Mus musculus: one gene and its partner. The protein of the gene in region 2 interacts with the protein of the main gene of each other region in a biochemical or structural test. Links are inferred from orthologs where the notes say so. Each region holds a gene or a part of one and is shown on either strand. Other genes may lie near its edges.

Region 1 (3,825 bases), on a different chromosome or scaffold from region 2:
GATTAGGACAAATCAGTAAGCATTTTAAGCTGGCGTAGACATGAAAACTTGCAAATATTTAGAAGCCAAGCTGTTCCGACCAGTTAAAACCATCATCAGAACTTTGATCTTGTGTCTAAAAACCTAAAACCCTTACGGAATCTTTCTTGGAGGTTTAGTGGATCTGTGTTAGATGCCACTAACACACAAACAAAACCCCAGATCTTCTGGATTAACAAGTAGAAGGGTTATTGGAAATGGAACAAGAGTTTAGCATCATTATTCTGCATCAGCAGTACTGTCTTAAGGGGTGGGCAGCAGTGTAGTTTGGTCTACTGAGCCTTGTAATATGGCCCTTTCTTGGGAAGGAGCTCAGAACACTTGTGGGGAGGAGGTACAGGGCTCTGCAGTGCCCGGGATGCAGCCTGGCAGCAACCCACACTGAAAGGCTTCCTGTCTGCCTGGAATAGAAAACAGCCTGCCAAGCATGGTGGGCGAGCTGGGCCGGGCAGGACAGAAAAAGCGAGTGTTAAGCAACTGAAAGAACTTAGAAGTCAGTGGGCTGCGCGGGCTGCAGGGGATGAGGAAGCAGAGGAGACGCAGTCATCACCTACCCAGCTAAATCTGCTGAGGGACAGGCCTCTCCCCTGTGAGGAAGAGAAAGAAACAGTGACGACAGAAACATTGACGTGGTGATCGCCCGGGACAAAGTCCTGAAACCAACAGGAACAACCAGGTGGCATTCCTCCCCCCAAGAGAAACAGGCTCCCTCAAATGCACCACATTCAGGGATTGCTAGGCCTGCTCAAAGCTTCAAGGCCAGGACGTGAATCCCAGCTCAGGGGGACACTGCCTGGAAGCACCGGCCGTGGACGCAGAACTGGGGACCTGCTGCATCTCTGTCCCAGTGGGAGCCTCTGGGAGCAAGACTTGGGCAGATTCAGGGAGCCTTGAGCCCAGTTCCATTTGGAACACATTTTGGGATTTCAGGATAATCATATGAATGAACTCTCGATGAACCAAAACATCCAAGGCCTTACCTTCCCTTGGGATGGAGGTGGTGTTCGAGGTGTCACCTGGAAGACAGAGAGGGGTGGGCTGCAGTGACTCACTTTCTTGTAGGAAGCCCCACGTCCTCCCAGAGGGTCCCACATGACATTGGACATAGTTCATGTCCACAGACATGGTTCCAATCTACCAGGCATCAGAAGCTAGCACATGCGTCTATATCATGCCCTTCCTGGGGCTGGAAATGGCACATCTACTGATGCTCAGTTTCAATATGATGCCCCATTTAAAAAAAAAAATCTCGTGTCTGTGTGTGGGCATGAGTGCACAGACATCCATGGAGGCCAGCAGCCGCAGTGGGGCTGGAGCTGTAGGCAGTTGAGCCACCAGCATGACTGGTGGGAATGGAACCCTGGTCCTTTGCAAGAGTGGTGTGCTGGCTAGTTTTATGTCAACCTGACACAAGACAGAATCATTTATAGTGTATTTTCTTAATTATTGATTGGTGTGAGAGAGCCCAGGCCATTATGTTTGTTTGAATGAGAGTGGCCCCCACAGGCTCGTATATGTGAATGTTTAGTGCCTACTTGGTGGAACCATTAGGAGGTGTGGCCTTGTTGGAAGAGGTGTGTCACTTGGGTGGGCCATTCCCACTCATTGCTCTATCCATCCATCTATCATCTATCATATCTCTATCTATCCATCTATCTATCTATCTTGCATCTATCTATCCATCCATTTATCCATCTATCATCTATCTATCATATCTATCAATCTATCATCTATCACATCTATCAATCTATCAATCAATCAATCTATCTATTATATCTATTTATCTATCATCTATCTATCATATCTTCCTATCAATCTATCATCTATCTATCTATCTATCTATCTATCTATCTATCTATCTATCTACCTATTATATCTATCTATCATCTATCTATCATATCTTCCTATCTATCATCTATCTATCATATCTATCATATCTATCATCTATCATATCATATCATCTATCAATCATCTATCTATCTATCTATCTATCTATCATCTATCTATTTACCTACCTATTATATCTATTTATCTATCATCTATCATATCTTCCTATCTATCTATCTCTATCTATCTATCTATCTATCTATCTATCTATCTATCTACCTACCTACCTATTATATCTATTTATCTATCATCTATCATATCTTCCTATTTATCATCTATCTATCATATCTATCATCTATCATATCTTCCTATCTATCAATCATCTATCATCTATCTATCTATCTATCTATCTATCTATCTATCATCTATCTATCACCTCTCTACCTCTCTAACTCTGTATCTATCTATCTCTATCGATCACCTATCTGTGTATCTATCCCTATCTCCCCCTCCTCCTATCTCTGCCTCATGGTTGTGTCTGAAGATGGGATTTCTCAGTGACTGCCCCAGCACCATGCTCCCCACCATGATGGCCACTGATTCACCCTTTGAGCTATGAGCCCCAAATAACCTCTTTCTTCCATTCGTTGCCTTGGTCATGGTATCTTGCCACCACAATAGAGAAGTAACTAAGTCATTTATTTTGTGGAAGAGTTTAGATGTACACAGAAATTGTCACGAAGTCACACATTTCCCCTGTACCCATAGGGCAGTCCCACACATCTGCTCAGCTTCTGCTGTTCAGCACCAGCATTAACATGATTTGCTTGTACTAAGTGATAAACAAACATTGGGGTATTATCATCATTGTCCATCATCATCATCATCATCACCATCATCATCATCACCATCATCAGCACCACCATCATAACCATAATCACCATCATCACCATCATCATCACCATCACCATCATCATCTGGATACATCAAGGTTCACTCTATGTGGCATGCATCCTATGTGTATTAACAAATATCACATGTCTTATGTTACAATGCCACGCAGAGCAGTTCTGTTGGCCTAAAGCACCCTACATTTCTCTGTTTATTCCCCAGCCCTCCTGGGCAACGCTGACTCCCACCATTTTCATTTCTCAAGGTCATAAAGTCTATATTTTTAATTAAGCACCTACTAGCTGCCTGATTTCAGGAATACTAAATTCTTATTACAATATACAGGTTTTTAAAAGCATGGCAGATGCACCCACGCGTGTCCTTTAGGACCTGGGATGACCCAGGTCCTCCTGAGGTTGGTGTCTCTCAGGCCAGCGGCACCCTGAGAAGGATCCATGGAGGTTAGGTGTGAGCTAAGACCTCTTTTGGATCCACAACCTTTCCCTTGATGATTTCTTGGTTCCCCTGTGCACAGTCACTTACAATGTTCTTGAAGAAATGGACTACTGGGTTTTCATCTTGGGTCCGGCCGTGCTGCGACTTCTGGGGCAGGGAGCCATAATGGGTAGTTCTCGTGTGTGAGTCCTGAAAGAGAGAAGCGAGCAGCTGAGGATGGAGAGGGCGTAGGTGGGCCACGTCTGCCCTTCTGAGGAAGGTGAGTCTCTACTCCACGCCTCCTGGAGATTGGGAAGCTGCTGGTGTGCCACCAAACAACTGAGTCCGGGGCGGGGCTTAGCGGAGCATGCGTGGTGCATAACCACCAGTTTGCCAGGTGGCTACTCTCTTATTTCTGAAGCCATCACTGGCAGAGGGAGTCTGTTCATTCACTTTGGGGTTGTGCATTATGAGCTAGCCTCGTCACCTCGTGTCACCAGGGTTCTGAGTCTGTCGACAGAGGACTATCACGTTCCCATCTTGAGTCAGATGGAAGTAACACCTGCTCTGAGCGTCCATCTGGGCCGAGGATTCATAACCCACAGAACCAGAGGGACCTAGGCCAGTGAATAT
Region 2 (3,825 bases):
ATCAGGGTGGGGTTGCAGGGGATGGGGGAGGTGTCCACTGTCCCAGAGTTGGGCAAGTTCCAGATCTACTCAACTGGCTAATCTTTATACTTTTCTTCAAAGTATAAAGTTGAAGTTTTTCTCCTAATATCAGGAATGGACTCAAGTCCGAGCCGATGCCTGTGCCTGCTACTCTGTCCTGTAACTGTTGACATCAGGTTCTTGGCAGCTTTGGAAAACCAACCACAACACCACAGAAAATGGCCAGACACCATGTACCAGGCACCCAAGTACACACGGGCCCATTCTGGCAAAACTGGCCCACCTCGCAGAAGGGGCACCGGTGACCCTCGAGGCTTACCAGGTCCCAGTCTATGCTGCGGAAGAAAGCATGAGACTTGATGTCGGAAAACCCAGTCTGTGGCCGGCAGCCAAGCCTCTCTTTGGGATCCTGGGGGTCAGAATTCAAATGAGGGTGAGTCAGGACTCCTAAGGAAACCCCTGATTCAACCTCAACCCAACGGGATGGCCCAACTGCCCCCACGGGAGTTCCCTGTCCCCAGCTGTTCTGATGTCCAGCTGGGTCTGACCTTCCCTCTGTTGGGACTGCTTTTCCGGTCAGTTACTTACTCACTGTTTTGCTATATCAATAAAAAATTAAACTCAAAGATCACGGAGCCCCAGTGCCAGAGTGGATGAGCAGCAGCAGCACAGAGCAGCTGGGGGCAGCTGGCAGCTGATGACAGACAGCTCCAGTAGTGGAGAGACTCTGTCCACCCACTCCATCCCATGGGTAACTTGATCCCAGAGGGTTACAAGGGATCGTCTGTCACCGCAGCCAAGAGCATACCTTATTTAAAAATCCTTTTAAGACGTGTGAGGCCTTGACAGACAGGAAACGGGGAATCCGGATTGGCTTTTCCAGGATAACTGAGGACAGAGACCGGGTGAGAAGCGGCACTGTTTGCTCTTTCCGATAGCCTACGGGTGGGCCCCCTGAACTCTGCTCCTTTTGTGTTTTTTTGTTTTTTGTTTGCTTGTTTTTTTGCAAGGACGGAATCTTGGTAGGTATCCAGCCTGGCTTTGAATTCTTGACCTTCCTTCCAGCCTCTTGAGTAGCTGGGATTACAAGGCCATGTGACCCACACCTGGCTTGAACCCCATTTCTAAGTCAGAGCTCAGACTTGTAGCCCTGGGACACCTTCCTGTTCCAGAAGCCTGCTGGGTCCTTCTAGGGACCTCCTGGTAGCACTCACATATCACATAGCCTTGTGTGAACCAACAGCTCCCTACTACCTTTTGGTTGCAGGCATGTGGAGTCTGAACACCGATCACCAGGGGGCGCCGAGGGACAGCCCTGAGGGGCGTATCAGTGGCCATTAATGCTCTCTCATCAGGAGCAAGGGAGCCTGCACAGGCTACAGGGAATGATCTGGGTGGGCAGAAGGGGGCTCTGGCTAAATCAGGGTTTCTAGGTGACCCATAGTGAGGTGGACTATGATCACCTCGTTTTACAATCTCTGCCAGAGGAATGGGTTCGTGTGTGTGTGTGTGTGTGTGTGTGTGTGTGTGTGTGTGTGTACTGTTGCTGATGCACAGCACCAGCCTGGACAATGCTCCATCCTCACCTTTGAGAAGGGAAGAAAAAATAACATGCAGAGGGAGGTGGGAGGGAGTGCATACACCATGGGCCACCAACCTTGGAAAAGGTAGTCTTCAGTGTTCATGTCAGGGTTGTCCGTGATGATGTCAAAGGGGGAGCGCCCAGCCATCATCTCAAACATAAGGACACCCAGTGCCCACCAGTCCACGCTGAACCCTGTGGAAAAGCGGGCAGTCACTAGGCAGGGGGTGGCTGGGAAGTGGCACACTCTGTCCGTGAGTGTGAATGTGCCAAGAGAGTCGCTGTGCTGGACATCTGTGTCCTCAGAAGCTGTGACTCCTCACCTGCAGTGTGGGATACCCAGGCTGTGTCCCTGGCCCCTCAGCTCTGCTGGGACATCTCTGTTACTCGAGCATGCAGAATGGGACCAGGGACGGACCCTGCTTTGTTCCTGTCGTCGTCATCGTCATCATCAGTGATAGTGACCGATGATGATGATACAGGCTCTCGATATGTAGTCCAGGCTGGCCTTGAACTTGTGACTCCCCTGCCTCAGCCTCCTAGGGCATGGCACCATAACTAGTTGTATTTTTTTCCTGATTTGATTTACAGTTACAAAGCCCGCTTCTCACTGAGGAATGTGGCCCAGTGGTAGAGAACACTTTGTTCACACGTACAAAGCACACGCGCCATCCCCAGAGCTGCCAAAATACACAGAACTCACAGAATCCATCTCCGAGACGAGAAAACACAGCTACAATTTCCTGTATATTTACATTCACTATTCTTTCTTTCTTATATTTTATGTATGTGAGTACACTGTCACCATCTTCAGACACACCAGAAGAGGACATCGGATCCCATGACAGATGGTTGTAAGCCACTATGTGGTTGGTGGGAATTGAACTCAGGACCTCTGGAAGAGAAGTCAGTGCTCTTAACTGCTGAGCCATCTCTCCAGCCCGTTTTGTTTTGTTTTGTTTTGTTTTAAGACAGGGCTTCTTCGTGTAGACCTGGTTGTCCTGGAACTAACTCTATAGACCAGGCTGGCTTTGATCTTAGAGATCTGCCTGACTCTGCCTCCTGATGCTGGGATTGAAAGTGTGGGCCACCATTGCCCGGCTGGCTGACTGACTTTCTCTCTCTCTCTCTGTCTCTCTCTCTCTTTCTATGTTCAAGTGCTAAGTATTTTAAGACAGCAGGAGGGATGATCAGTCTTCATACTCTGCCTGGCCACCCCTACCATCTCTGCTCAGAACAGTCCCCCTGCTCTGGCACACACAGAAATAGGGTCACTTAGAATGCTAGACTGATTTCTGGCTCCAGTCTGCCACCCCTGGTTACTGAGCCACTTCAACTGAAGCAGCTTGTAGGAACTCAGTCATTCTTCTGAATTGGTGACTCGCACGCGCTGCCCGCCACACACTCATTTATGTGAAGGTGTATTTATGACTGGTTTCACTGAAGTCACCGTCACTAGTCAGGGATAGACAGCTCATGCCTGTAATCCCACCTGTCTGAACAGCAGGAGAAGCTAGGATGCAAAAGTGGGTGCGTTCACGAGCACACATAGATAACATGTGTGATGAGCCTCTGTGCACAGTAAACACATTTTTTTTACAAACAGTAAAAAAATAAATGTGCACACACACACTGCATGCTACATATCCTCCTCTATCACACACATGCACACACATGTATCACACACATGTACACACATGTATCACACACATGTACACACATGTACCTGTATATGTATGCCCTGCCCCCAGGTGCATAGGACTGTTTCTACCCCGAGGAGTGGAAGTACACCTTCGTGTCTACAGGGTCCCCAGATCACCCCCTGCTCTGGAGCCCAATGGGGGCACTTCTGCCATTCCCAAGGGCACTTTGTTTCTTCCACATATGCATGGCCAGTGGCCAGTGGCCAGCCAACTTGAGGTTCTGTGACCCAAACCTGGGCTTTCTTGTCGTTGCTTCATGTTCCTTTTTCTCCTCCCTGGCCTTAGGACTCCTCAGAGAGAGGAATGTTATTCAGTGTCATCTGGTGGGCCTCAGGGAGTATGCAACGGGTAACCAGCTGGGAAACCCTGAGGGGTGTTCTGTGTTATTTTTGGGTATAATTTGGCCATATATCTCCCTGCCAGGGCCACTGTAGGGTGGGCCAGACAGGTTCTTGCTCTGAGTGAAGAATGTCACCAGCTGGGGGAGACTTCTGGAAGGTGTCCACCTACATTTACCTC

The links.
Region 1: of the proteins of Prkcz (region 2) and Mbp, one has a biochemical effect on the other in vitro, tested with the Homo sapiens proteins (2 studies listed by BioGRID). The link is inferred for Mus musculus from reciprocal best matches to the Homo sapiens genes PRKCZ and MBP.

Annotation. Positions count from the first base shown.
Region 1 is NC_000084.6:82,572,402-82,576,226, reverse strand, and holds part of Mbp (Golli-Mbp), read right to left. Parts: exon of another isoform or gene 3,403-3,825; coding exon 3,301-3,402; intron 1,056-3,300; coding exon 1,020-1,055; intron 693-1,019; coding exon of another isoform or gene 594-692; intron 1-593. UniProt on the Homo sapiens protein: The classic group of MBP isoforms (isoform 4-isoform 14) are with PLP the most abundant protein components of the myelin membrane in the CNS. They have a role in both its formation and stabilization.
Region 2 is NC_000070.6:155,267,355-155,271,179, forward strand, and holds part of Prkcz (protein kinase C zeta type), read right to left. Parts: intron 1,799-3,825; coding exon 1,679-1,798; intron 910-1,678; coding exon 830-909; intron 431-829; coding exon 341-430; intron 1-340. UniProt on the Homo sapiens protein: Calcium- and diacylglycerol-independent serine/threonine-protein kinase that functions in phosphatidylinositol 3-kinase (PI3K) pathway and mitogen-activated protein (MAP) kinase cascade, and is involved in NF-kappa-B activation, mitogenic signaling, cell proliferation, cell polarity, inflammatory response and maintenance of long-term potentiation (LTP).